Stegostoma tigrinum: one gene and its partners. The protein of the gene in region 4 interacts with the protein of the main gene of each other region in a pairwise test. Links are inferred from orthologs where the notes say so. Each region holds a gene or a part of one and is shown on either strand. Other genes may lie near its edges. The genes, in order: acsf2, spg21, tufm and arl6ip1.

The links.
Region 1: the proteins of arl6ip1 (region 4) and acsf2 interact in binary tests that used the Homo sapiens proteins (3 or more experiments, as listed by UniProt). The two-hybrid records come from large-scale screens. The link is inferred for Stegostoma tigrinum from reciprocal best matches to the Homo sapiens genes ARL6IP1 and ACSF2.
Region 2: the proteins of arl6ip1 (region 4) and spg21 interact in binary tests that used the Homo sapiens proteins (3 or more experiments, as listed by UniProt). The two-hybrid records come from large-scale screens. The link is inferred for Stegostoma tigrinum from reciprocal best matches to the Homo sapiens genes ARL6IP1 and SPG21.
Region 3: the proteins of arl6ip1 (region 4) and tufm interact in binary tests that used the Homo sapiens proteins (3 or more experiments, as listed by UniProt). The two-hybrid records come from large-scale screens. The link is inferred for Stegostoma tigrinum from reciprocal best matches to the Homo sapiens genes ARL6IP1 and TUFM.

Annotation. Positions count from the first base shown.
Region 1 is NC_081375.1:36,164,417-36,172,110, forward strand, and holds the start of acsf2 (medium-chain acyl-CoA ligase ACSF2, mitochondrial), read right to left. Parts: upstream 3,016-7,694; 5' UTR 2,425-3,015; coding exon 2,303-2,424; intron 1-2,302. UniProt on the Homo sapiens protein: Acyl-CoA synthases catalyze the initial reaction in fatty acid metabolism, by forming a thioester with CoA. Has some preference toward medium-chain substrates. Plays a role in adipocyte differentiation.
Region 2 is NC_081386.1:721,254-728,412, reverse strand, and holds the start of spg21 (maspardin), read left to right. Parts: upstream 1-4,145; 5' UTR 4,146-4,226; exon of another isoform or gene 4,227-4,261; intron 4,262-7,159. UniProt on the Homo sapiens protein: May play a role as a negative regulatory factor in CD4-dependent T-cell activation.
Region 3 is NC_081403.1:634,096-641,348, reverse strand, and holds the start of tufm (elongation factor Tu, mitochondrial), read right to left. Parts: upstream 3,005-7,253; 5' UTR 2,957-3,004; coding exon 2,929-2,956; intron 635-2,928; coding exon 594-634; intron 253-593; coding exon 93-252; intron 1-92. UniProt on the Homo sapiens protein: GTP hydrolase that promotes the GTP-dependent binding of aminoacyl-tRNA to the A-site of ribosomes during protein biosynthesis. Also plays a role in the regulation of autophagy and innate immunity.
Region 4 is NC_081376.1:54,010,865-54,018,022, forward strand, and holds the start of arl6ip1 (ADP-ribosylation factor-like protein 6-interacting protein 1), read right to left. Parts: upstream 3,015-7,158; 5' UTR 2,947-3,014; coding exon 2,905-2,946; intron 1-2,904. UniProt on the Homo sapiens protein: Positively regulates SLC1A1/EAAC1-mediated glutamate transport by increasing its affinity for glutamate in a PKC activity-dependent manner.

The DNA of each region.
Region 1 (7,694 bases), on a different chromosome or scaffold from region 4:
CAGGCTCACGTCCTTCCTGATGGATGGGGCGAAGGGCTCCACACAGCACACGAACAAGGCAGGAGAGAGCGGGCAGCCCTGCCTGAATCCAGATCTGATGGGAAAACTGTCCAATTCCTACCCAATGATCGAGACTGCGCTAACGATGTTTGTGTAGAGCAGCCGGATCCAATTGCGGATGCCCTCCCCGAACCCCAATTTGGAGAGGACATCCCTCATGTAAGCATGAGAGACCCTGTCGAAGGCCTTCTCCTGGTCCAGGCTGACAAGCCAGGTGTCCACCCGCCTGTCCTGCACGTAGGCGATCGTATCCCTGATGAGCGCGAGGCTCTCAGCGATCTTCCTGCCCGGCACAGCACAGGTTTGGTCGGGGTGATTCACCGACTCCAGGACAGACCTGACCCGGTTGGCTATGACCTTGGCCAGGATTTTGTAGTCCACGTTCAATAGTGAAATGGGACGCCAATTCTTAATTTCTTCCCTCTCCCCCTTCCTCTTGTAAATGAGGGTGATGATGCCCTTCCTCGTGGACTTGCACATTTCCCCTGCCCGAAGCGCACTATCGTACACCTCCAGCAGGTTCTGGCCGACCAGGTCCCACAGAGTGGAATACAGCTCGACCAGTAAGCCGTCGCTCCCGGGAGTCTTATTCCTCTCCAAGGACTTGAGGGCTCTGGTAGCTCATCCAGGGATATCGGCCGGTCCAGCCACTCCCTCGTGCCGTTGTCTAAGACCTCCGAAATAGACGGCAGGAACGGCTTGGAGGCCGTGCTGTCTGTGGGCTTCGTGTCGTACAGTCCGGCATAGAAGGATCTGCAGATCCTCAAAATGTCGGGCCGAGACGACGTCACCGAGCCATCATCCTCCTTCAGCCGGCTAAGCACAGAGCTCTCTTTGTGCACCTTCTGAAAGAAGAAACGCGAGCACATCTTGTCCTGCTCCACGGAGTGGACCCTGGACCGGAAGATTATCCTGGAGGCCTCCGCGGCGAAGAGCGAGGCTTGCTGGCCCCTCACCTCGCGGAGGTCCTCCGTGACATCGAGCCCCATCATCTGCAGAAGGAGCAGGTTCTGCACCCTTTTCTGGAGTCGCGACAGCTTTCTCCACCTCTCTCTCGCCTTCCGAACACCCTTGAGGACAAAGAACCTCTTGATGTTCTCCTTCACCGTCTCCCGTCGCCCGGAGACTCAAAGAGGGGTTTCACAGTTCTCCAACCAACGTACTCCTTCTCAAGCTCCTCGATGTTCTCTGGGGTCAACAGAGTCGTGTTGAGCTTCCACGTCCCCTTGCCGGCCGGCTGGTCGTCCTGTAAGTGACAGTCGGCCAACAGGAGGCAGTGGTCAGAGAAGAACACCGGCTCGACGCCAGTGGACCTGACCGAGAAGGCCCGTGACACAAACAGGAAGTCTATCCTTGAGCGGTCACTGTATATAAATTATGTGCCTGCGCACTTCACTCCATTCACCTGACTAAGGAGCAGCGCTTTGAAATCCTGTGATTTCAAATAAACGTTGGACTATCGAGATATAGGAACTGCCGATGCTGGAGAATCTGAGATAACACAGTGTAGAGCTGGATGAACACTGCAGGCCAAGCAGCATCAGAGGAGCAGGAAAGTTTGACGTTTCGGATTGAGACCCTTCTTCAAAAAAATGTTTCCGTCTCGACCCGAAACGTCAAACTTTCCTGCTCCTCTGATGCTGCTTGGCCTGCTGTGTTCATCCAGCTTCACTCCGTGTTCTCTTATGTTGGACTATAGCCTGGCTTTGTGTGACTTCTGACTTTGTCAGTCCCAGTCCAACACCGGCACCTCAACATCCTAGCTTTTACTTTAATGAGACACCACCCTTATTATAAAAGCAAAATACTACAGATGCTGGAAAACTGAAATAAAAATAGAAAATGCTGAAGAAACTCAGCAGGTCTGACAGCATCTCTCCATGGAAAAACGGAGTTAACGTTGAATGTCTTCGAATGTTGTCAAAACAAAATACTCCTATCAATTCACAGACTGGCAGCCAATATTCTACCTCTCACACGAGAGAATGAGACTATTTAAAATACGCTGACAGATGCTAATATGCACAGCCATCTGTGCCGAAATAACCACAAGACCCGGCGATGAGTGTTTGACAACAAAAACCTCCCAGTCACAGAAGAGATCCTAGAACAGAATGCTTGGGGGAGACACAAACGAAGTGAATGAGTCATTTCTCTCATTTCCACAACCGAAGACATTCTGTTAAATGACCGAAGACACTCTGATCCCCGAAGCTTAGTTACAGCCAGCGGCAGCCTTTACCTGTATGGGGCAAGTGTTTTTGTCCCACTGCTACTGTAGCCTTTCCAGAAATCTTCCGGGAAGAGCCGCCAGCTCCGGTTCCAGGGGCCGGCACAACTCCTCAGCCCGAACGCGAAGCCCATTATTACAAATACAGTGTAGAAAACGGCGATAACTCCGAGGGCTCCCTCTTAACACACTTCTAACTGAACTTTTACACTTCCGCAACCCACACTAAAACCAGATTAGAAGTTCCTTCCCGTCCAATGTCAGCGCAACAGTTGCTCAAAATGAAAGATGGACGGTTCTGCCGACCATTCAGTGTGTGGTATCCGCTGTCAAAGTCTGTTCCAGAGGTCCCAGAAAGAATTCGCCAATGCAGCAGAAAGAAAGCCCAGCGTTTAAACACATCATTGGGGGCAAACGAGACACTGCAACTTTGCTGAACACTGAGGGCAGCTTGTTCTTTGACCCTATGGTCAGGGGTAGGGTTCAATCTCTTTAGAGGAGGTGTGCGGGAGTAAACAGGCAAACTCGGGTAATCAGACCGGAATGCAGCGCCAGGCCAGAAGTGACTCTGCCCACTACAGCCGTTTATAGTATCAGAAATTCCCCACTGAAATCACACCACAGCACCCGACATCTGCAATCATACAGCATTAAAGAAAGAAACTGAACTGTTCAGCCCATCGTGTTTCTGCCAGCTGTTGTGAAATATCTCACTTCCTCAACATCAGGCGACGTTGTTTGGGTTGAACCCACGCTGCAGGCGTTACTCTGCATCACAAACCAACGTCAACCCAACTGACCCTAGTCTGTGCGGGGATTTTACTCTGCATCACAAACGAACCCTCCAGTCAACAGCCTGCTGAGTTTCATCAGCGATTTTTGTTTCTTTTTGTCTTTGAAATAACTGTCCAGTTAGTCTCATTGTGGAATACCAGAGTTTCAAAAAGCAAAACACTTTGAAAAGACTGGGGATGTGGTGGATGGTGTATACAATGGGGTGTGATTTAAGGATAGAATTTCCCTGCAAATCTGTATTTGACATAATGTGAAAAGGTGAAGATCCAGGCATTTGATCTATTTTGTTTTCAGAAATTACCAGGGCTCGAACATTTAATACAAACACGGGATTGTCCAAGCATGAAGGATCACTGGATGAGAAACGTTAACTCAGCAGGTTTTCGAGCATCTGTTCAGAGAAAGCAGAGTTTCTCCTGCACTTTCTGTTTTTGTTTCAGATTTCCAGCATCTGGATGTTTTTGTTATTTTGTTTCCAAGGAGGCAACCATGCAGCATCTGGATGCTTTTGTTGTTTTGTTTCCAAGGAGATAACCATGCAGGCAGGGCGCACATAAAGACAATAAGAGGGATAAATCAGATTCAAAATTACCTTCCTAATTTTAAAAGCTGTTCCCAACCATAAATCTGAATTTCTAATCTGTGTTGATGCTGTCACTTAATAACCATATCTATCCAGATAATTTAGCTGGAATCAATGAACTAACAGTAATTCAACTGTTAATACATTTTCCCCATCAAACACAGTGCAAGTGAGTTGCAGAATAAATTGCTGAGAACACTGTCCCTGTGAATGCTCTGAGGGGAGATGCAGCTAGGCATAGATTCAGAGTAAAACTCCTTTCTATACTGTCCCCACCAATACTCCCAGGGCAGGTACAGCATGCGTTGCGTACAAAATAATGCTTCCTGTACAATTTTACAACCCCATTGAGGCCTGTAACTTTTTTAAAGGATTGAATTTTCCAAACAAATAATAGAAATATAACAAAGGACAAGATCTCACCTTTTAAGACTTTTACTGTAACAAAATATAATCTACATAGATCAAGCCCTAACCTATACATAACTAATGCACCAAACTAAAGAAAACTGTATGTTTTGTATTTACCAACTAAGACAACCAGAATATATATTATCAAACACTTTTGTTCAACATCATGCTTCTGATAGATATGCATCATTAAAAGAACTATCCCAAAGTCACCTCCAGCTCTTCAAAGGAGCCATACTAGGCTGAGTTTGTAGTGTTCTTCAACAATCATTCCATTCTGCCTGGGATCTCACAGATTATAATTATCACCAACAGGTACACTTCATTGGATATGTCTCTCCAGCAGATCATCACAGACCAGAAGGTCTAGAGATTCCCAGATTTGACCCTTTAAAGTTGTTTAGCCAGCTCCGACAAAACTGTTATCACATTGTTATTTGTTCCTATTCCTCAATATTTCTGACAGAACAGCAGCAACGACCTTTCTGGCTCCATACTTTTTCTTTCCAATTCATAGTAGCTGTTCTAGTGAAAGGTGTTAAAACAGCCATTCCACGTCAATGGGCTTTTCTCCTGATGGTGACTGGATCACAATGGCATTTCTCTGAGCCAAAGTGCTTGGAGAAGACATTTTAAAACACATAATTGTCTTGTAATGTTCAGTTTTTATACCACTGTCCCCACCAAATGCTCCCGGTGAAGGTACAGTATAAATTCAACGTACAGTAAAACTTCTTCCACACTTCCACATTAAATAATGAAGCAGGTACAATACTGTTTTGATACAGAACAAAGCACCTTGCAAAGCAGAGTTATCTAAGCTCCTTCCGGGAAGATGGTGACAGAGTAACACTCTCCATGCAGACCCTCTCTACTCCGCCTGTTCTTTTTCTTTTGTTACTATTTTCTTCTCTCCTTTTAACGCTCCTGGAGCAGTGATTGGGGCAGTAGTCCCCAGAACAGCACAAGGGAAAGTGTGTCTCAAAACATCATGAGAGGAAGCTTGGCCTGGAACAACTCGAGGGAAAATGAGTCCTGGAGATCTGCGAGAAGAAAAGCCAGTCCAGGAGCAGCGCAACTTACCTTGGTGTAGCTGAGTGTCTGGTGGAGCAGCTGGAGACTTGGAGTGGAGTGGGACTGTTGTTGGTCAGGGGCCTGGCGTGGGCGATCAGACCACGTGCTTGTTGAGCTGCTGCAATGTAACATTGATCTGAAATTCTTTACCGGACTGTAATGTCAATCCTTTAACTTTGTTGTAACTATTCTACTTCTAACTTTTTTTTAGACACTGTAAGTAATGCTATTACTTTTCCTTTTATTCCTGTTTTGTATCCAACATTTATACCTAGCTACTTCTACCTAAGATGGTGCCATTGTTAAAACTTTTCACTGTACTCATGTACTCCTCTGCTGGAGTACATGTGACAACAGTGAATACTCTATCCCTTGCACTAGGGGTGTGGCACATTTCAACTTCTCTTTCTCTTTAATGGGGACTGTGATTGGAAGTGCAGTGAGCAAATATAAACATAAGGTTTGGCACAATAAGGGGTATGAATTTTTTAAAATTCCAAAGAAATAAATTAATCATTTAAGTAAATTAGTAACTCATAAAATTGCCATTAAAATGTGTCAGCGGCAAATACAAGTTTTTTTTAACCACCTTGGTTAAGAAACAGAGCTAAAGCTGGACTAGGTTGCAAGTCCTGATCACCCAAAGCTGTGGGTAGGCATTGAGGCCAAGTTGACTCGGATTTAACTAACACTGATCTTGCTTTCATGTCTGGCAACACACACTCTGAGCTGGCCTTGGTACAATTCATATAGAAGTGGGGGTTGAGTGGGGGAGAAGTGTTAGAAGCATCTTGTCTTTCGGCCAGGGTATTCCTGCACACCCATGCTGCTTTGCAGATTGGTTTTGAGGAATGAAGAGGAGGAGAAAAGTGAATTTGTGTTTGGCTTCCTCAGTCTCAAGGTTCATAGAAACTCTCCCACTCCCCACATACACGCAGAAACACACACATTCACCCCTCCACTCTGTTTCTCCCACACAAAAACACACATGCCTGCATTCAATCCTCATGCACACAAACGTGCACCCTTGGTCCTAAACCGACACTGTCCCATATCCGTACACTCCCATTCCCCATACAAGCTTTTTCTAATTCCAATACATACTCACTTAACCACTCTGACATTAACTCGCCTACTCACGCTCCTTCATTCCCATATAAATGCTGCCAAGTGATCAACAGGCCTGCTCCACCACCTTGACTGCAGCCTTTCAGGGCATCAATGCTTCAATGAAAGGGAGAGTGCTGTCATCTCACAACCTGTTTGCTATCCTGGACCCTCCTTCCGTAAACCACTTAGCATCTCAGAGTCTTCTCCCCCATCTCCCTCACCATCTTAAATCTTTCTACCCCATCTCCTTCACTATCTCAGAACCTTCTCCTCCATTTCCATCACCATCTCAGAGTCTTATCCCCTGAACCAGTTATCACATCACAGCCTGTTCTTCTCACCCACCTACCGGGTATGCTGTCCTTTACAGTCTCCCCCACACAGCAGCAGGCTTACCATTGTTCCCAGTGTCCTCCTCAAGCTCATTGAAGATAAGGATATTTGCTGCTCTTCCAAAAAGAAGTTATTTATACATAGAATCCCTACAGTGTGGAAACAGGCCATTTGGCCCATTGAATCCTCCAAAGAGCATCCCACCCAAGCCTACACCGCCCCCCCCCCCCCCACCGCCATTCCTGTCACTCTGCATTTCTCATGGCTGATCCACCTAGCCTGTACATCTTTGGACTGTAGAAGGAGCCCATGCAAGACATGGGGAGAATGTGCAAACTCCCCACAGTCACCTGAAAGTGGCACAAACTGTGGTCCCTGGTGCTGAGGGGCTGCTGTGTTAACCACTAAGTCACCATGACATCCCAAAGTAAGGAGGTCCTTGGTCTCTAGATGGTTTCAAACCACCAACCTTCTGGTTACAGCCAAATGCACTAACCTACTGCAACACACAGACAGGTGCCATTTCTTTTCTGTGTTGCTGCCCATTGGCTCAGTAGTGAACCGATCTATGGCAAGGGTGGGAACAAAACAGCTTCAGAATGATGAGCATCTCCATGGTGGATCTCTAACATGTATTTAACTGTATTTACAACAAGGCTTGATGGCCAGATAGGCCCTCTAGGAATAAATTGGATATAAATTGCAAAGTTTACTTGAGTGGGATAAAGAGGAATTTTATTACCCACTGACCCCCATAAAATATTAAAAATGAAACATCAAACACCTAAAATACTCAGGTAATAAGTTTAAAAAGGAAGTTGAGGTATGGACAGGAAGTAATGGCAATTTCACTTTAAAGTGCTCAGAGTCCTTGAGTTGTGAGAATGACCTGAATGCTAACTCGTTCTTGTCTTGCTTCTTCAGTAGTGACAAAGTTTGTAGATCTTTGACTTCCTAGGTGACCGGTTGTTTTCCCAAGTTGGTTTTTTGCTGGGTACTGACTTCAAGTTTAGGAATAACAGGGAGTTCCAGGTTCTTGTCTAAATAATCATATTTCTCTCTCACTTCTCCTTTGCTGCTCAAAAGCTGTCTTGATAT
Region 2 (7,159 bases), on a different chromosome or scaffold from region 4:
TTCAGCCTTGTCCCAAAGAGAACAGTTACAACATCTTCAAATCTACCTAACAATTGAAGACTTTTCATACCTGGAACCATTCCATTCCCTTTTGCGAACTTATCTCATTGTCCTTACTACTATCTGTTCAAATCACATTTTCTTTGAGAAGCAAAAAATTAAATCCAACACTTTATCTTATTGATATCCTTTTAATTTGAAATCATCATAATCCTATCAGCAAATGCCATCTTAAACTAAATATTCAAAACAATGGGTCTACTATTGCCTGGAGTTGATTGTGATGATTTGATTTAAAAACTAGGAGGTCATGAGGTCAAAGTCTCATGTTTATTTCATCCTTTTATTTGAGGGGGAAGGGAGAAATGGGGGAAGCAGAAGCAGTTTGGACTTATGCTAGGCACAGTTAACTAATATTGACTATAACAGGGAAGCTCTCATCTTATCTGAATTTCATTTTTAGTGTTCTTATAGTTTATTAGAGGTCAGGATTGCTGTATTTCCACACATTTCTGAACAGTGTCCAGGGTCTAGGCCCGAAACGTCAGCTTTTGTGCTCCTGAAGGATGAAGGGTCTAGGCCCGAAACATCAGCTTTTGTGCTCCTGAGATGCTGCTTGGCCTGCTGTGTTCATCCAGCTTCACACTTTGTTATCAAAGTGAAATTCCTGTCTAGTTCATATGATGTGTTCTATCAGCCCAGATTCATCAAACTGCCCCCCATGACACCATGTTCTGAATTCCAGAATCAATTTAGTTTTCCTCCGCTCAGTATTTCTTTTAGTGATAAGGCATTGGATTGGTTTCTTAGTAACAAATGGTAGCAGGCTAAAATAAATTGATTTATCTTACATTTTACCGATTGTGGTACTGTTTTGAATTAAAACTAAATACATCAATTTAGTTTTTAGCAGGTGAGTAGATTTTCAGAACTAAAGAGACTTACCCTGGGATTCTGGTATTATTCCTCTGTTAAATATGTTCTAATTTACTTAGTCATCTTTTCTCAGTTAATTTTTTTAAAGTCTCTAAACTAAAGTCCTTGTGACTTTACTCACAAAACCAAACAAGTCATTGTCTATAATAGGAGTGTGGTTATAATCAGTAATATATGTTAAATAGGCACCCGGGTTCGATTCCAGACTTGGAGTTTGCGCGTTCTCCCTGTGCCTGTGTGGATTCTCTCCAGGCACTCTGGGTTCCTCCCACAGTCCAGAGGTGTGCAGGTCAGGTAGATTGGCCATTCTAAATTGCCCCACTGTGTCCAGGGATTTGCAGGCTAGGTGGGTTAGCCATGGGAAATGCAGGGTTACAGGGAGGAGTGTGAATCTAGGTGGGATGTTCTTTGGAGGGTCAGTGTGGACCTGATGGGCTGAATGGCCTGCTTTCATGCTCTAGGTATGCTATGATGATTCTATGATATATATCTGGTATTCAATAATCCCTCTCACATTTTCGTCTGCATAATTTATGAATACCGCAAACGAGAAGGGACACAGCACTGATCCCTGTGGTACACCACTGCACACTAGGCACCACTTACACTTCAGCAAAACTCTCTATCTCCTATTACTAAGCTAATTTTTACTAAACCGAAGCACCCGGAGGAAACCCGCGCAGACATGGGGAGAATGTGCAAACTCTGCACAGACAGTTGCCCAAGGCTGGAATTGAACACGGATCCCTGGCGCTGTGAGGCTGCAGTGCTAACTACTGAGCCACCGGGCCGTGGATAGATAACTGGCTAGGCAACAGGATGCAGAGAGTTGTAGTGGAAGGGAGTTTCTCAAAATGGAGAACTGTGACCAGTGGTGTTCCACGGGGATCCGTGTTGGGACCACTGTTGTTTGTGGTATACATAAATGATCTGGAGGAAGGTACAGATGGTCTGATTAGCAAGTTTGCAGATGACACCAAGATTGGTGGAGTAGCAGATAGTGAAGGGGACTGTCGGAGAATGCAGCATAATATAGATAGATTGGAGAGTTGGGCGGAGAAATGGCAGATGGAATTCAATCCAGGCAAAAGCGAGGTGATGCATTTTGGAAAATACAATTCAAGAGAAAATTATTTATAAATGAAGAGCCCTGGGGAAAATTGATGCACAGAGTGAGTGTTCAGGTCCATTATACCCTGAAGGTGGCACGGCAGGTCAATAGAGTGGTCAAGAAGGCATACGGCATGCTTCCATTCATCGGACGGGGTATTGAGTACAAGATTTAGCAGGTTATGTTACAGTTGTACAGGACTTTGGTTCAACCACATTTGGAATACTGCATACAGTTCTGGTCGCCACATAACCAAAATGCTTTGGAGAGGGTGCAGAGGAGGTTCACCAGGATGTTGCCTGGTATGGAGGGCGCTAGCTATGAAGAGAGGTTGAGTAGATCAGGATTATTTAATTAGAAAGACGGAGGTTGAGGGGGGACTTGATTGAGGTCTACAAAATCATGAGAAGTATAGACAGGATGGGTGGCAAGAAGTTTTTTCCCACAGTGGGAGACTCAATTACTAGGGGTCACGATTTCAAGGTGAGAGGCAAAAAGTTTATTGAGATATGCGTGGAAAGTTCTTTACGCAGAAGGTGGTGGGTGCCTAGAATGTGTTGCCTGTGGAGGTGGTAGAGGCAGGCACGATAGTGTCATTTAAGATGTATCTCGACAGATCCATGAATGGGCAGGGAGCAGAGGGATACAGATTCTTGGAAAATAGACGACAGGATCTGAATCAGCGCAGGCTTGGAGGGCTGAAGGGCCTGTTCCTGTGCTGTAATTTTCTTTGTTCTTTGACAGACACCTCAGTACCTCACTCTACCGCAAGCCCAACAGATAACTTCACAATGCCGTACATGTCTGGCTTCCACCTTAAACATGTTAAGGAAGCTATCCCCTCGGGACAAGCCCTGCATATACACAAGATCTGCTCAGACAAGGAGGAATGCAATGGACACCTAAAGATTTTGAAGGACAGCCTCATAAGAATGAGATACAACTCTCAACTCATCGATTGCCAGTTTCAAAATGCCACAATGAGAAACCATTAGACACAACCAACAGAGTACCCTTCATCATGCAGTACTTCGCCAAAGTGGAGAAAGTACGCCATGGTTCTAGCAGCCTTCAACATGTCAGTGATGATGACAAACATCTTGCCAAGATCATCCATATGCCTCCACTTCTCACCTTCAAACAATTGCCAAAAATTAAACACACCATCGTTCACAGCAAACTACCCAGCTTTCAGGGCGACATCGACCACAACACCACACAGCTCTGCCATGACATGTGCTCTGCAAGACATGCCAGATCATCGACATGGACACTACCATCAAACGTGGGAACACCACCCACTACGTACACAGCAAATATTCATGTGACTCAGCCAACGCTGTCTACCTCATACGTTATAGGCAAGGATGTCCTAATGCATGTTGAGGAGACCATGCAGACGCTACAACAATGGATGAATGGACACTGCGCAACAATTGCCAGACAGGAATATTCCCTCCCAGTCGGCGAACACTTCAGTGGTCAAGGACAGCCTCTAATCTTGGGAAACATGGTTAGCTACCCACGTACAGGAGGAACTAGAGCAAACCATATATTAAGCTCTCTTGCCGACTTACCCCCATGATTTAAACCTTTATTTAATCAATTACTTTAGGAGTCTTCTTCCCTTGAGAAATTTAAAACAGAATATCGCCCTTACAAGCTGTAAAACACAAAATAAAAACTTTCTAAGGGCTCTTGTGATTCAGTGGTAGTGTCCATACTTTTGAGCCAGGAAGTCCCACCTCTAAAAAAAATGTGTAATACCATGTCTGAACATGTTGAATCGAAAAAAGATTTTTTTGAACTGAGTAGCTGCGCAGTCAAGCAGCTTCCACTTGCCCCACCCACCGTGCACAAAACCCCGCCCACCACGTCAAGGAGCACACCCACTTTTTTGCCCCGCCCCGCCCCGCCCCGCCCCGCCCAGCCCACGAACAACGAACACCCCGCCTTATCGCTCGCCCCGCCCACTGGGCACAGTGAGCCTGCTCCAGTTACGTCACCCCGCACACTGCGCAAAGGACACACCCCTTTATCGCCCCACCTTCGCCGCAAAAGACGCATTTACGCCTTGAACACCCCGCCCACCGATTGGAAGCTCCTCCCATGTTTGTGACCCGGATGCGTAGCGGGCTCATCACGGGACAATGATTTCCGGTTGCAGTTGAGTTTAAAGGTAAAGGGGGGGGCGCGGTTGGAACTGTATTTGTGGTAAGAGTTATTTGTGTTTGTTGAGTGGTGGGTGTAATAAGATGTGCCCGTGTTTGTGGAGAAGCGGAAATAGGGAGGGCTGCGGGGTGAGCTATTGTTCATGGAGTAGGTTACTTTTGTTTGTCAAGCACTTGGGGTGTCCTGGGCAGTGTTTGTGGGGAAAGTGTCAATCTAGAAGAATGTAGTGTGCGGGAACTGCTACCACCTGTGACTCAAAACCCCGTTTATAAACAGAATTGAGATGTGATTTTTTTTTGTTTTACGAGAAGCTAGGGAAGGGTAGATAAGTGGTTCTGTTTTGCTTGAACTGTCATTAGTTAAGAGGGATAACCTAAGCTGTAGAAACCGTTTTGGGTAAAAATGAGAAATGATGATGTCAAAGTCACCTTTGCATCTGGTTTGTAAACCTCTTAAGAAAATATTGCACTAAGGTGGAAAATTCTACAGGACCTTCACAGAAATTCATTTGTAATAATCATCGGAATTTAGAAAAGCCTGGTGCTCAAGGATAATGTAGATAAAGCGTTTCACGAACTTTTCGGACACTTCCTTGGTACGGCGTATTCGGAATCAACAAAGTTGAAATCTGGCATTCGTCATACAAAATGATTGACTAATGCTTTTATAATGATGGTATTGCTGGAGAACTGCACATGCAATATGACTAAACTTGTTCATTTAGTTTGAGTTGTGATATGAATGGATCTCTTGAGTCAACAGCATTGCCGTGGTTCTGGAGTCCTTTCCTAAAAGAAAATTTTTAGTCGACGTTTTGAGCCGAGACCCTCCTTCAGAACTGGGAAGGGAGTTAGGAATAGAGGGAGGAGGGATGGGGCTGGGGGAAGGTAGGTGGGATGGTTATAGGTGGCTGTAGGTAGGGCTGGTGGGGATTGGTCAGTGGAAAGGGTAGGGCAGATAGGTGGGGAAGAAGATGGACAAGTTATGTCAGGTCAAGGAGGCAGGGATGAGCAGGAGGTTTAGATGTGTGTTGGGGAGATTTTAAACTGGCTAATTCTGTGTTAAGGTCATTGAGCTGTAGGCTCCCAAAGTGACAATACCTGGCTGCTAACCACTTTAATTCCACCTTCCAGTCCCACTCCTATGATGACATGTCTTTCCTGGGCTGCCACCAGTGACACAATGACACTACACACTTGCTTGAGGAGCAAGTGGCCACACCCCCCCGACTTATTTCCCAGCTCCCTACTCCCTACTCCCTTCTCCACTTCTCTTCTCCCCCCCCCCCCCTCCTCCACGTCACCCCATGCCCCCCCCAAGTTCTGAAGAAGGGCCTGAACCTGAAACATCAACTTTCCTGCTCCTCTGCTGCCTGACCTGCTGTGTTCCTCCAGCTCCATACTATGTTGTCTCTGACTCCAGCATCTGCAGTTCTTGCTATCTCCAAATGCAATATGTCAGTACTCATTTGAAGAAAGTTAGGAATAGAAGAGCAGATCTATATCCTCAGCAGTACCAATCACTGGTCAGGCCTCATTTGGAACACTGACCAGTTTTGGGCTCTGTGTCGAAGGATGGATGCGTATGGCAAAGATGGAAATTTGCAAGAATTTTGCTGGGGATGGAGAGCTTGTCATGTAAGGAGTGGGTGGGGTCTCTGGACCTGAACTTGGAGTTTTGAGGAATGAGGGGTGATCTGATTTTAAAACCTAGGGAATATGAAGAGGCCTGGATACAGTGGACACGGTGAACATGTTTCCACTTCTCAGTGAGACTAGGAGCTGAGCGCATAGCCTCAGAGTGAAGGGATGACTGAGATGAGGAGGAATTTATTTAGTCAAAGGATCATGAATCTGTGAAATTCATTGCTGTAGGATGCTATGGTGGCCAAGTCATTGAGTGTGTTTAAGGTGGAGCTGGATAGGTTTCTCGATTGATAAGGGAATGAGAGATCATTGGGAAAAGGCAGAAGAACAGGGTTGAGAAACACTTCAGCTATGATTAAATGGCAGAGTTGCCTCGATGGGCCAAATGGACCAATTATACCCTATACCTTATCTTTATGATTAGTCACTATGGCGATTTCTCCATTCTTCAGTATTTATTTTGAAACTGCAATATATATCCTCAAGAAAATAAAAATCTACTGGATAAACAGGTCTGCAGCATCTGTGGAGAGAAAATAACAAAGTTAATGTTTCTGGTCCAGTGATCCTCCTTCAGAATGCTGAATATAGGTCTTCAATTGTGTGTTTTCATTCATACTTTAAGCTTATATCTCAAGGATTTATTGTTGATATAGTACTCAAAGGATATGACTGCCAAGTTTCTTTCTTGGAATTTCTTCCAATATTTTCTTGAGGTAAAATGCCATATTGATCTCAGCAAGTGTGAGAATATCTGCCACTTTAGTATCCTTCTGGCTTCCCAAACTAAAAGGCAACATTTTACTTTTTCACAAGAAAGCCCAACAGAGATTTCAGTAAGTATCACAAATGGCAGTTTTCATGTTTCTAGTATCTCCTAATGATGTAAGCTTCATAACACAACCCTTCATCTTTAATTTCAATCAGTCATGCCATAGAGTCATCTATCATGGAACAGACCCTTTGGCCCAACTCATCCACACTGACCGGATTTCCGAAACTGATATAGTCCCATATCTGTCGACCTCCCCTATTCAAATGTCTTTTAAAAGTTATTGTACTCTCCTCTACCACTTCTTCTGGCAGCTCGTTCAGTACACACGTTGTTTGAATATTCTGTTCACCTGAATGACACCTTACACCTTGGGATTAGTCATCGTTGTACTCAATGCTAATATTTTAAATCTGGCATCTGGCCTTGTTTGGGTGCCAGACAATTCAGCTTTTCGGTTGGATTTTGCTATTCTTCCATTTCAGTCTTTTAAGTGCCCGTGTTTTTGTTTGAGAGACCCTA
Region 3 (7,253 bases), on a different chromosome or scaffold from region 4:
GTCTCGGTGTGTCGGCTCACCCCGACACACGCCCCTCTCCCTCAGTTCCCCCTCGACACTCTCCCTTTCGCTCCCTCCTCCCCCTGCGCTACCTTTGGTGATGGCTGCAGTCAGTGTGGTTTTCCCATGGTCCACGTGGCCGATGGTGCCGACATTCATGTGAGGCTTCTCTCTCTGGTAGGTCTTCTTGGCCTCAGTGGCGAGATTCCGAGATAGGGCAGGGGCCACCAGGACGCACTGGGGGAGCCGGGTCTGTCAACCAACAGAGACAGAGAGCAAATCCTCAGGGCCTGCACGCAGACAGGCAGAAGGCCCGAATATACCGAGTATAGCTCCCTCTACACTGTTCACACCCACCCCCCAAACACTCCCAAGGACTGGAACAGCAAGGGATTAGATACAGCGTAAAGCTCTCTCTACACTGTGCCACCCTCCCCACCCCATCAAACACTTCCAGGGTCTGGGAGAGAACAGGGTTAGATACAGAGTAAAGCTCCCTCTATACTGTCCCCCACCACAAAAACATTCCCAAGGACTGGGACAGCACGGGGTTAGATACACAGCTCTGGTATCCTGTCAGATTGAGCACTCACCGCTCGAACGGTCAGCAAACTCCGGATACAGCTCTTTGGAACTGGAAAACACGGAGAAAGGTTAACATGGTGATGGGTGCAGCTCAGACCCCAGCGTCCTCCCTCGCCAACAGTCACTCCCTATGCTCAAACTTCACCACCTACATCCCTGAAGCAAAGCCAACCCCCACCGCCAATCCCTGCCTGACAGGTGCTAGAATATTTCCCATCGTTTTCAGCATATTCCTGCTAATTTTACTGACTTCTAATCTGCCTGTAATTTCCCCCTCTGCATTCCTCCATCTCGGCCCCTCTCCCGACCTCTTGCGGAGCTGCCTTCCACTCTGATTGTCCTCCTCAAAGACTTGACCCAACCATCTTTCTTCCCACGCTCTTGTGCGATCTGTAACTGCACGATCCTGTGTCCCGTTCTCACTCTACCCTCACCTTGGGTAGGTTCAAAGAAGTGTTGAATCCCAATAGCGCAGAGACAGGCCGTTCAGCCCATCATGTCAGCATCGACCCTCCAAAGAGCACTGCACTAAGACGTAGTCATTACTATCCCCGTTACCCCGCAATTCCCACGGCCAATCCCACCCTAACCCGCACATCCCTGGGTACTACGGGACAATTTCCCATCGGCCAATCCCACCCTAACCCCCACATCCCTGGGCACTACGGGACAATTTCCCATCGGCCAGTCCCACCCTAACCCGCACATCCCTGGGCACTACGGGACAATTTCCCATCGGCCAATCCCACCCTAACCCCCACATCCCTGGGCACTACGGGACAATTTCCCATCGGCCAGTCCCACCCTAACCCCCACATCCCTGGGCACTACGGGACAATTCCCCATCGGCCAATCCCACCCTAACCCGCACATCCCTGGGCACTACGGGACAATTTCCCATCGGCCAACCCCACCCTAACCCGCACATCCCTGGGCACTACGGGACAATTTCCCATCGGCCAATCCCACCCTAACCCGCACATCCCTGGGCACTACGGGACAATTTCCCATCGGCCAATCCCACCCTAACCCCCACATCCCTAGGCACTACGGGACAATTTCCCATCGGCCAATCCCACCCTAACCCGCACATCCCTGGGCACTACGGGACAATTTCCCATCGGCCAATCCCACCCTAACCCGCACATCCCTGGGCACTACGGGACAATTTCCCATCGGCCAATCCCACCCTAACCCGCACATCCCTGGGCACTACGGGACAATTTCCCATCGGCCAATCCCACCCTAACCCGCACATCCCTGGGCACTACGGGACAATTTCCCATCGGCCAATCCCACCCGAACCCGCACATCCCTGGGCACTACGGGACAATTTCCCATCGGCCAATCCCACCCTAACCCGCACATCCCTGGGCACTACGGGACAATTTCCCATCGGCCAATCCCACCCTAACCCGCACATCCCTGGGCACTACGGGACAATTTCCCATCGGCCAATCCCACCCTAACCCGCACATCCCTGGGCACTACGGGACAATTTCCCATCGGCCAATCCCACCCTAACCCGCACATCCCTGGGCACTACGGGACAATTTCCCACGGCCAATCCCACCCTAACCCGCACATCCCTGGACACTACGGGACAATTTCCCATCGGCCAATCCCACCCTAACCCGCACATCCCTGGGCACTACGGGACAATTTCCCATCGGCCAATCCCACCCTAACCCGCACATCCTGGGGCACTACGGGACAATTTCCCATCGGCCAATCCCACCCTAACCCCCACATCCCTGGGCACTACGGGACAATTTCCCATCGGCCAATGCCACCTTAACCCCCACATCCCTGGGCACTACGGGACAATTTCCCATCGGCCAACCCCACCCTAACCCGCACATCCCTGGGCACTACGGGACAATTTCCCATCGGCCAATCCCACCCTAACCCGCACATCCCTGGGCACTACGGGACAATTTCCCATCGGCCAATCCCACCCTAACCCGCACATCCCTGGGCACTTCGGGACAATTTCCCATCGGCCAACCCCACCCTAACCCGCACATCCCTGGGCACTACGGGACAATTTCCCATCGGCCAATCCCACCCTAACCCGCACATCCCTGGGCACTACGGGACAATTTCCCATCGGCCAATCCCACCCTAACCCGCACATCCCTGGGCACTACGGGACAATTTCCCATCGGCCAATCCCACCCTAACCCCCACATCCCTGGGCACTACGGGACAATTTCCCATTGGCTAATCCCACCCTAACCGCCACATCCCTGTACTTATTCTCTAGAATATAACATCGATTGAGACGCACACCATCTCCCCCCCCCTCCCCCGCCATGATATAATGTATGTCTGAGAGTCAACCTCCACTGCTCACTCTGAGCGCCGCCATCTTGGGTGATTGCGCTCACGCTTCCGGAAGTGACCTCACCCCGTCCCGCCGACCCAACAACGCAACGTCACCGCGCACGCCAGGCAGCGCGCCGTCCATTGGCCCCATTCCTGCCCCGCAGGGACGTCGCCCCGTCCACCGCCGACGTGCCCCGCAACGACGTCGCCCCGCCCTCACCCCCATCGCGCTCTCTAGCTCCTAACGCCCCTCTCTAGTGCCGCTCCGGAGGCGGCCCTCTCCAGCTTGCGTTCTCTGCCTAGTCCGTAATACACATCTAAAGTACAACGTCGGTCTGAGCGTCGTCTCCGTCTCCATCCTATTATCGATCTGACAGCCCACCTGATGCACCCACTCTCAGCGCCGCCATCTTGATGTTCTGGTCGTCTCCGGCAGTCCTGGAAGTGACCTCAAGACGTCGCTCTGTCCGGCCCTTAAGCCAGCGATTGTCCCGTCCGCTGACGTCGCCCCGCAGTGACGTCAGCCTTCTCAGCCAACCTCGCTGGACCTCATCGCACGACGTGCCCCGCAATGACGTTCACCACCGCTTCACCCGGTGTCGCCTTGCCCCTCCAATGGCGTCGCCCATTCCCGCCCAACAACGACTGCGCTCCCTCCCGACGTGCCCCGCAATGACGTTTCTTCCCCCCCCCCAACCTCCGATCTCTTCCTTTGCGGGGGCTCGGCCTCGGATTGTGTGTTGTTGCGGGGGGAGTGGAACTGGCCCCGCCCCTTTCCGCAGCTTCCGTGGCGCTCCAGGCTTCCAACGGGCCACGTGCCCCGGGTGGTTTCCATGGCGACAAGGGCTCCGCCAACCGCGCGCGCGCTGGCAAGGGGGCCCGCCTCGCACTCCAACCGTCACCAGGGCCCCGCCCCCGGCCCCAACCGCCGACCTTGCCCCGCCCCCTTTCATCCTCCTGGACCACCTATGCCCTCTGCCCTCACCAAGGTCCTGAGGCCAACTTTAGAGTGTGGGCAGTGGCCGGAGAAGATGGGGGAGAAAGGGGGTTGGGATTTCGGCATGGCGTCTTGACCGCCCCCCCCCCCGCCCCCCAACCAAACAGCCACCTTCCCATTTCCACCGGTTTCCATGAGGGAGGGTTGGCGGGGAACGGTTAGGTTTGGCGATTCTGTGACCAAGGTGCACCGTTGTCCTTTGGCACTGCCTGCCTTGCACCGCTCTCTCCCCAACGCACCCAACTCCGCCCAGACCCTCAGCCCCCCCCCCCCTCCCCAACCTGGATGCCCCCAAGTCCGTTACGCCACCGTCAACACCCACCTCAGCACCCGTGCCCCGGACCGTCAACTGCAGCCGATGAGTGCCGCCCAATGGTACAGTGACGCCACCCACGCCCAAGTCAGATGCCAACGGGGCAGAATGAGTCCATTCTGCCCGCCGGCGTTGGTGGGGGTGTGCTGCTTGGCCGTTGGGTCTCAGCCCCATTCTTCACCCTCCCCCAACCTTTGACCCCCTTTGCGAGGATATACGCCCCTGTCTCTGGGCAGCCATCTTTCCCCAAAGCCTCACCACCGCCCCACCCGGGGACCCCAGTTCAAGGAATCGTCGAGGAAGAAGACGGGGGTGGGCGATAGAGCAGCCGTTGTGTGACGGGCTGGGCGTGGACGGCGTTTCGCGTGCCCGCCTCTTCGCCTCACTCCGCCTTCCCCCGGGATCTCGCCGGGCGCCCTCAAGAGAGCCCAAACGATCCTTCCGTCCCGCGTTTCAGTCCGAAATGGACCGTGTTGCCCCTCACCGCCACCACCACCACCCCCTCCCCGCCCACTCCCAATCGTTTCCTGCCCCTCTTTCAATTCCCAGAAACGCAACTCCCCCACCCACCCAAGGGTAACGTCTGCCCTCCGTCAGATCGTTGGTTGAGCCGAACTTTGACCCTAAACCTAAGGTCTATCTAACCTCCGCCCCTACCTTATGCTACCATCCATATGCCTATCTAATAGCCGCTTAAATGCCCCTAATGAGGCCGACTCCACTACCCTCTCCGGCAATGCATTCCACACCCCGACCCCCTCTGAGTAAAGACTGATGTCTCCCCTGTATCTACCCCCCAACTCACTTTCAAACTGTGCCCCCCTCGTCGCAGCTACCCCCGCCCCAGGAAAAAGTCTCTGGCCACCCACTCTATACCTTTGCTCACTTTGTACACCTCTATCAAGTCGCCTCGCATCCTTTGTCGTCCTACAGAGAAAAGCCCGAGCTATCTCACCCTTTCCTCGTGAGACCTTCCCTCCATCCCAGGCAACGTCCTGGGAAATCTCCTCTGCGCCTTTCCCAACGCTTCCTCATCCTTCCGTGTAATGAGGCGAGCAGAACGGGACACGATACTCCAGACGTGGCCAAACCAGGGTTCTGTATAGCTGGAGCGTAACTTCATGGCTCTGGAACTCAATCCGTCTATTAATGAAAGCAAACGCACCAGACGCCTTCGGAACAACTCTGTCCACCTGGGTGGCAGCTTTCAGGGAACATTTTCACTCATCACCTGTTTTCTTTCGGAGACTTTTTGATGAAGACAACGCTGCCACCATGTGCGACAAATTACTCGAACGAGATGCATTTGCAATGATCCGATGCCACCGAATGGACACTGCAACAAGGGAGAGAGCCCAAGGAAGGACTTAGCACACTGAGTGGCGTCCCACATCAGGCAAGGACACGGCTCCGCACACATTGTTATTCCACAGTGGTGCCTTAACATCATGATGCTCCCTCAGCACTGACCCTCCGACAGTGCCCGCTCCCTCAGCACTGACCCTCTGACAGCACCCGCTCCCTCAGCACTGACCCTCTGACAGTGTCCGCTCCCTCACCACTGACCCTCCGACAGTGCCCGCTCCCTCAGCACTGACCCTCCGACAGTGCCCGCTCCCTCAGCACTGACCCTCCGACAGTGTCCGCTCCCTCAGCACTGACCCTCCGACAGTGCCCGCTCCCTCAGCACTGACCCTCCGATAGTGCCCGCTCCCTCACCACTGACCCTCCGACAGTGCCCGCTCCCTCAGCACTGACCCTCCGACAGTGCCCACTCCCTCAGCACTGACCCTCCGACAGTGCCCGCTCCCTCAGCACTGACCCTCCGACAGTGCCTGCTCCCTCAGCACTGACCCTCTGACAGTGCCCGCTCCCTCAGCACTGACCCTCCGACAGTGCCCGCTCCCTCAGCACTGACCCTCTGACAGTGCCCGCTCCCTCAGCGCTGACCCTCCGACAGTGCCCGCTCCCTCAGCGCTGACCCTCCGACAGTGCCCGCTCCCTTGGCACTGACCCTCCAACAGTGCCCGCTCCCTCAGCGCTGACCGTCTGGCAGTTTAATTATTTTCGGGTGAAATATCTGAGTGGTATAACTGCATAATCCTCGGGATCTTTCCTGGATCTCATTGAATTACTGAATGAGCAGCTGTGGAAATGTGAATCGATCAGCTCTGACCCTGAAGTGCTGACATGATTAAACACAGCTTTCCTGGAATATCAGGGCAATATGTGGTTACTCACACATGGTGTCACTAGTGACTCAGTACTTAGCATACTCTATCACTGTCTCACATTCTCCCTCTCACTGTCACTATCTCACAGTCTCATTCTCACTGTCCCTCTCACTCTGTTAATCTCTCACTGTCTCTCTCACTCTGTTAATCTCTCACTGTCTCACATTCACCCTCGCACTGTCCCTCGCGCTCTGTTAATCTCTCACTGTCTCACATTCTCCCTCTCACTGTCTCTCTCATTCTGTTAATCTCTCACTGTCTCACATTCTCCCTCTCACTGTCCCTCTCACACTGTTAATCTCTCACTGTCTCTCTCACTCTGTTAATCTCTCACTGTCTCACATTCTCCCTCTCACTGTCCCTCTCACACTGTTAATCTCTCACTGTCTCTCTCATTCTGTTAATCTCTCACTGTCTCACATTCTCCCTCTCACTGTCTCTCTCACACTGTTAATCTCTCACTGTCCCTCGCGCTCTGTTAATCTCTCACTGTCTCACATTCTCCCTCTCACTGTCTCTCTCACTCTGGTAATCTCTCACTGTCTCACATTCTCCCTCTCACTGTCTCTCTCATTCTGTTAATCTCTCACTGTCTCACATTCTCCCTCTCACTGTCTCTCTCACTCTGGTAATCTCTCACTGTCTCACATTCTCCCTCTCACTGTCTCTCTCACTCTGTTAATCTCTCATTGTCTCACATTCTCCCTCTCACTGTCTCTCTCATTCTGTTAATCTCTCACTGTCTCACATTTCCCCTCTCACTGACCCTCTCACACTGTTAATCTCTCACTGTCTC
Region 4 (7,158 bases):
ACACTGCGTAAATACCAGTCAAAGAATCTTCCCAGCAAACACTGTCAGCGACTGCCAGTTCCAAATCTGTTCCCCCAAAAACAGAGGAATGTGATGGTTAAAAGCAAACGTTTTTGCAAAACCAAGAAACCAATAAAATAGCCACTCTGACAACGGATTTTATTGGGCAGGAAATACTAAGACAGAAGACAAAATCTTGGTCAGAGGTAGGCTTTACAGAAAATACTACAACAGGAAAGATTTAGGAAGGGAATTCTCAAAGGGCAAAGGAAATGTTGTGGATGCCATGTTTCCTGAGTGGGGAGAAGTCACAGTAGAAATTAAACAGAAGGGTGAAAATTTTGAAGTGAAAGCTTTATCAGTCAGGAACCGCCAGTGAGCAATGGGCGAGTTGAATTTAGTACATGCCAGGAATCAGGTTGTAGGGTTTGGATGAGTGCAGATTTCTGCAGGATGGAACTGGTGAGTTTCACTGGGAGTTTTATGTACCACAAACATGAATGAGGGCTTCAGCTCACAAAAACTTAAATGAAAGCCAGAAAAGGTCAAATTGCAGAGGTGGAAAACTACATACTAGATAGAGGAGTTGACCTAGACTCAGGTTGTGGCTCAAGACCGAAAACGAGAGAGAGAGAGGGATAAACCAATCAATTGAGTTGACAGGGTGACAAAACCTGCTCAAGATGAATGTAACTTTTTATTAAGACAAGAGGTGACACGTCAAACAAGCTATGAGAGGTTTTGTGACATGAAGACATTGTGAATGATGTGATACAATGACAGCATTTTCAATTCTTCTAAGTCAGAAAGAAAACAGCCATTATCGCCGCATTACTGGCCCCTGCACAAAGCATGGTCCCAAATACAATTCCGAAACTCTGGCCACCACCACCCCACGCCCTCCACACCCCAAGTACTAACAAACCCCTCCCCTGGAATACCCCCAACCCCTTCCCCCACCACTCCCCACCCCAAATACCCCCAACCCCCTCCCCCACCACTCCTCACCCCAAATACCCCCAACCCCCTCCCCCACCACTCCCCACCCCAAATACCCCCAACCCCCTCCCCCACCACTCCCCACCCCAAATACCCCCAACCCCCTCCCCCACCACTCCCCACCCCAAATACCCCCAACCCCCTCCCCCACCACTCCCCACCCCCCCTCCCACACCACTCCCCACCCCCCTCCCCCACCACTCCCCACCCCCCTCCCCCCACCACTCCCCACCCCAAATACCCCCAACCCCCTCCCCCACCACTCCCCACCCCAAATACCCCCAACCCCCTCCCCAACCCCCTCCCCACCCCAAATACCCCCAACCCCCTCCCTACCCCAAATACCCCCAACCCCCTCCCCCACCACTCCCTACCCCAAATACCCCCAACCCCCACCACTCCCCACCCTAAATACCCCCAACCCCCTCCCCACCCCCCTCCCCCACCACTCCCCACCCCAAATACCCCCAACCCCCTCCCCACCCCCCTCCCCCACCACTCCCCACCCCAAATACCCCCAACCCCCTCCCCACCCCCCTCCCCCACCACTCCCCACCCCAAATACCCCCAACCCCCCTCCCCCACCACTCCCCACCCCCCTCCCCCACCACTCCCCACCCCCCTCCCCCACCACTCCCCACCCCCCTCCCCCACCACTCCCCACCCCAAATACCCCCACCCCCCCTCCCCCACCACTCCCCACCCCAAATACCCCTCCCCCACCACTCCCCACCCCAAATACTCCCATCCCCCTCCCAAATACCCCCAACCCCCTCCCCCACCCCAAATACCCCCAACCCCCTCCCCCACCACTCCCCACCCCAAATACCCCCAACCCCCTCACCCCAAATACCCCCAACCCCCTCCCCCACCACTCCTCACCCCAAATACCCCCAACCCTCTCCCCCACCACTCCTCACCCCAAATACCCCCAACCCTCTCCCCCACCACTCCTCACCCCAAATACCCCCAACCCTCTCCCCCACCACTCCTCACCCCAAATACCCCCAACCCTCTCCCCCACCACTCCTCACCCCAAATACCCCCAACCCTCTCCCCCACCACTCCTCACCCCAAATACCCCCAACCCTCTCCCCCACCACTCCTCACCCCAAATACCCCCAACCCTCTCCCACACCACTCCTCACCCCAAATACCCCCAACTCCCTCCCCCACCACTCCCCACCCCAAATACCCCCAACCCCCTCCCCCACCACTCCCCACCCCAAATACCCCCATCCCCCTCCCCCACCCCAAATACCCCCAACCCCCTCCCCAAATACCCCCAACCCCCTCCCCCACCACTCCCCACCCCAAATACCCCCAACCTCCTCACCCCAAATACCCCCAACCCCCTCCCCCACCACTCCTCACCCCAAATACCCCCAACCCTCTCCCCCACCACTCCTCACCCCAAATACCCCCAACCCTCTCCCCCACCACTCCTCACCCCAAATACCCCCAACCCTCTCCCCCACCACTCCTCACCCCAAATACCCCCAACCCTCTCCCCCACCACTCCTCACCCCAAATACCCCCAACCCTCTCCCCCACCACTCCTCACCCCAAATACCCCCAACTCCCTCCCCCACCACTCCTCACCCCAAATACCCCCAACTCCCTCCCCCACCACTCCTCACCCCAAATACCCCCAACTCCCTCCCCCACCACTCCTCACCCCAAATACCCCCAACACTCCCCATCCCAAATACCCCCAACACACCCCACCCCTCCTCAGCCCCCGGTCACCATACCCAGCCCAGCCCATCTCTCCCGCGCTACTGGGTGTACGTGTGTTGGAGAAGTCTGGCCGCGCCACCCCCCACCCCGCCCCCATAACGGGGTATAGTTATGTTGTTTCCCCCACCCCATCGCGGGGACAGTGGTGCTGTGGAGTTCCCTCACCAGGAGGTTGGTGCTTTTATTGTCTCCGTCCCCACTCGCCATCGCCACTCGATCCTTCTCGACGCCCGTTTATTGCGCATGCGCGGTTGCTCCCACCCTAATGGTGCATCTCCACACGTGATACTGCAGGCGGCATTGCTGATTGGACCAATTCCGGCCGTACCCACACGCCTGATTGGCCGGCCGTGGCACTGCTCACGGTGATCGAATGTCCCCTGGACAGGAAACGCCCACCGCCGACCGAACCCCGCCTACAGGACAAGGAGCCACGCCCCTTGCCCGCCCACCGCTGAGGAGACCCCGCCCCCTTCCCCTAGCCCAAACTAGTCCCTGCACCTAAATTCCTGAAGAGGCTACAATAATTTCCCACTCCTAAGGCTAGGTAGAGGCGGCCTGATTTTATATGAATAGGAGTCAAGGCAACTGGGGTTTAGTTTTCCAAAACATCTGAATAGTTGGAAGGCTTCTACCAATCTATACCTTATCTCTCTCTGCTTCCTATAAAAGGTTAAGATACAAACCATCAGGTATGAGTCAACCCACATGAAGTGCAGTGGGTACAGGACAGTCTCTGCAAGAAATCCAGCCACAGATATTCTCTTAGCAACAGTGATGGCGACCGTGTTCATGTACACAGGTAGTCACCATTATAGGTCAACAGGCCCACAGCACGTGCAGCGCTGTTGTTTGCATGATTTTCTTTCCTTCCCTCTAGAAGCAGAGTGAACTAACACTACAATTTGAGCATTGAAGATCATGAAACTTTAGAATAGTAAGAGGGCACGGTTCTTACAAAAAAAAATTACACACAAGGATTCCCATATCCAATGCTGCTCAAGCTAAGGCTGCTCATTTAGACCTGTTCTGTAAACTCCACAAGAATCACTTAGAAGTTTTCTAATCCGTCCTTCGTAGAGAATGGTTACAAAATGAACCTCGTGACTGTACAAAAACAGCATCTCATATTCCACTCGGGGACCCTGCAGCCTGAGGGTATTGATGTAGACTTCACAAGCTTCAAAATCTCCCCTCCCCAACCACATCCCAAAACCAGCCCAACTAGTCCTCGCCTTTCTAACCTATCCTTCCTCCCACCTCAATCCCCTCATTCCACCCCCATGACCTGTCCATCCTCCCTGGACAGCCCTATTTCCACCCCCTCCCCCCCCAAACCTACATTCACCTTCACTTGCTCTCACCCTGCCTCTTTGACCTGTCTGTCTCCTCTCACCCGATCTTCTCCTTTATCCATCTTCTATCTACCTCCCCCTATTTTTCAGAATCCCCTTCCCCTCCCCCATTTCTGAAGCAGGGTCTTAACCCAAAACGTCAAGCTGCTCGCTCTGCTGCGCTCAGTGTTTTCTCATGCCTGTACAGTTGGTCAACTAACCAGCTGCGTAACATTTTGAACACCTACAACATTCCTCCCTGAAGTCTTAAAACATTTTTTGGGATAACAATTATTAGAGTAACTGCTAATTTAGAATAAATTTGCAATACTCAACTCCTGGTCTCTACAAAGATCCTTAACAACACCTTCCAAACACATGATATTTATAAAGAAAGGCAATAGATACATGGGAACACCACTATTGCAAGTTACCCTGCAAGCCACCCACCATCTTGACCTGGAAATATATCACCACTCCTTCACTATCACCAGATCAAAACCCTGGAATTCCCTCCCTAATGGCATTGAGGGTCTGCAGTGGTTCAAAAACATTGCTTACTTACAACCATATCAAGAGCAACTGAATGCTGGCCAGTTAGCTACATCCACATCCCATGAGTGAATTAGACAAGTTTATTTGTCTTAGAAATAAACTCAACTGTATTCACTAAAATCAGTCAGAATTAGGTGTTCAAACAGACAGACATTCATCATGCATCAATACCTCAACTGCCTGTTTCTTAAACATGGTGTTTATATTATTTAACATTTATTTAGCAGTGGGAGAATGGCTTAGTAGTATTATGGCTGGACTGTTAATCCAGAGACCAGACAACATTCTGGTTTGAATCCTGCCATTTCAGATGATGAATTTGAATTCAAATTCTATCGGGAATTAAGAATCTAATGATGACCATGAATCCATGGTCAATTGTCAGGAAAAACCCATTTGTTTCACAAATGCCCTTTAGGGAAGGAAACGGCCATCCTTACCTAATCTGGCTTACATGTGACTCCAGATCCATAGCAATGTGGTTGACTCTGAACTGCCCTCTGAGCAACTAGGGATGGGCAATAAATGCTGCCTGGCCAGCAATGCCCTCATCCTGTGAATGAATAAAAAACAACAAACTTGTTTTACAACTAAAAAGATAGCTGACTACACTAATGGTAATGGTCTTTTCTATTCCTCACAGCCAAAGAATAGGAATTAGTGTACAAGAGCTTCTGTTAGTATCAAACCATTTTAAAATATTCATATTTACACCCCATCACATCTAAAATGTCACAAAACATTAATTATTCTGAAGTGCTCAAAAGAAAATAATGTGGCCAACAATTAGATGGAGATTCTGCCGACAATAATGAGATGAGCAACAAATTAACCTGTTTGAGGATCCTGCACAGGATAAAGTAGGAATCTTATCTTTAATGCATATCTGAACCAGACGGAAAATAAAACTTCTCAACTTCAAAGGATGGCAACTTGAAAACTGCATTGAAATGTCTGCTAGTTAAGATGTGAAAGCTTATATTGGGGTTTAGTCATGTCAAATTGAGGTTAGAATGCTAACTACAGCAATATATTATGACTTTAAAAATGCAAGCCATTACTCAATTCCACCTATACATGTAGATCCAAGATATAGTTAGCAGAACAGGATGCGTACATGTTCCAAGCCATATTCTTACAAGACACTGTTATCTAAGATGCAGTTGATAAAGTGTGGAGCTGGATGAACACAGTTTAGGAGCTCAAAAACTGACACTTTGGGCCTGAAGGGTCTAGACCCAAAATATCAGCTTTTGTGCTCCTAAGTTGCTGCTCGGCCTGCTGTGTTCATCCAGCTCCATACTTTATCTCGGATTCTCCAGCATCTGCAGTTCCCATTATCTCTGATGCATCTCATCAACTGCATCCTTTTTTTGTTTCAATGTTTTGAACATTTTATAGTGTTCTATTATTTTTTTCATTTAGACAACAGAATTTCAGGAAGGAAATAAACTTGTTTCTGCCTTTATCAGGTTTTTTGAAAAGTTGCCGCAAACAGAAAACAGGAAACAAAACTCTTGTAAAACAGCACAAGTAAAAATAATCCAACTCCAAGCGGCAATTTACAATTTTTTTTTCTGTGGTGTGCAAGAGAATATTGAGTTGTAACCTGATGCAAATAACGTCAGTCCCTCAGAAGGACAAAACTGGACTTTAACCTTCTCTCTTCCTACCAGTGATTTTCTGAATGCGCAGGGATAAACAGAAAATAGTGCTGATGCCAGGATCACTGTGAATGTAATAAATTTATTGGAAATACGGTCCTGGATGTAAATCGTAGCAGTACAATATTTTATCATTTCAATTAGTTGAGTTTTTATAAACAATGTGCATAATACAAACAGGATTTCATATTCAAGTACAGATATCAAACGCACCATTTCCCATTCAATTTTCTCCACGAAAGAATTTGCAGTTACATATGCCTTACACGACCTCAGGATATCCTAAACCGATTTACAGCCAATGAAGTACTTTTGAAGTTTAGTCATTGCTCCAGATGCCTAATTAAATGTGCAACTTTCGGTCAATCAATTATACATTTATCAGGACGGCAAAGTGTTATAGAGAGGTTTCAGCAGCTCATTTGTTCCAAAATGAGTAAACCGAACTTCCTTTTCAAATTCAGAGTTAGGTTTCACTGACGTTTTTGATCTATTGTCTGCATGCATCAGTTTTGCACATTCATGACCGCACTTGGTTTGGGAATCCCTTAGTGGGAGAGGACAAAATCCTCAACAGTAAACATTAGCTTCTACTGCTTACTGTTTACTGACAGCTGGCTAAGTAAAATATGTCAAAGAAATTCAAGCAAGATCTCGTCCACTGCAGCCTTTCATGCTGGAGGACAGTTTCATGATGGGGACTGGAAAAAGGAGTTTTTTTTAAATCAAGGTGGAGGAGAGATTGTAATTCTCTCAAAATATAACTTTTTAAAAAGTACATTTAATTTAACTTAGTAAGAGATGCAAGGAAGCCGCAATCAAAATGATAATGGCAAGCACGTGTGATTTAACCTGTATAATGCTGA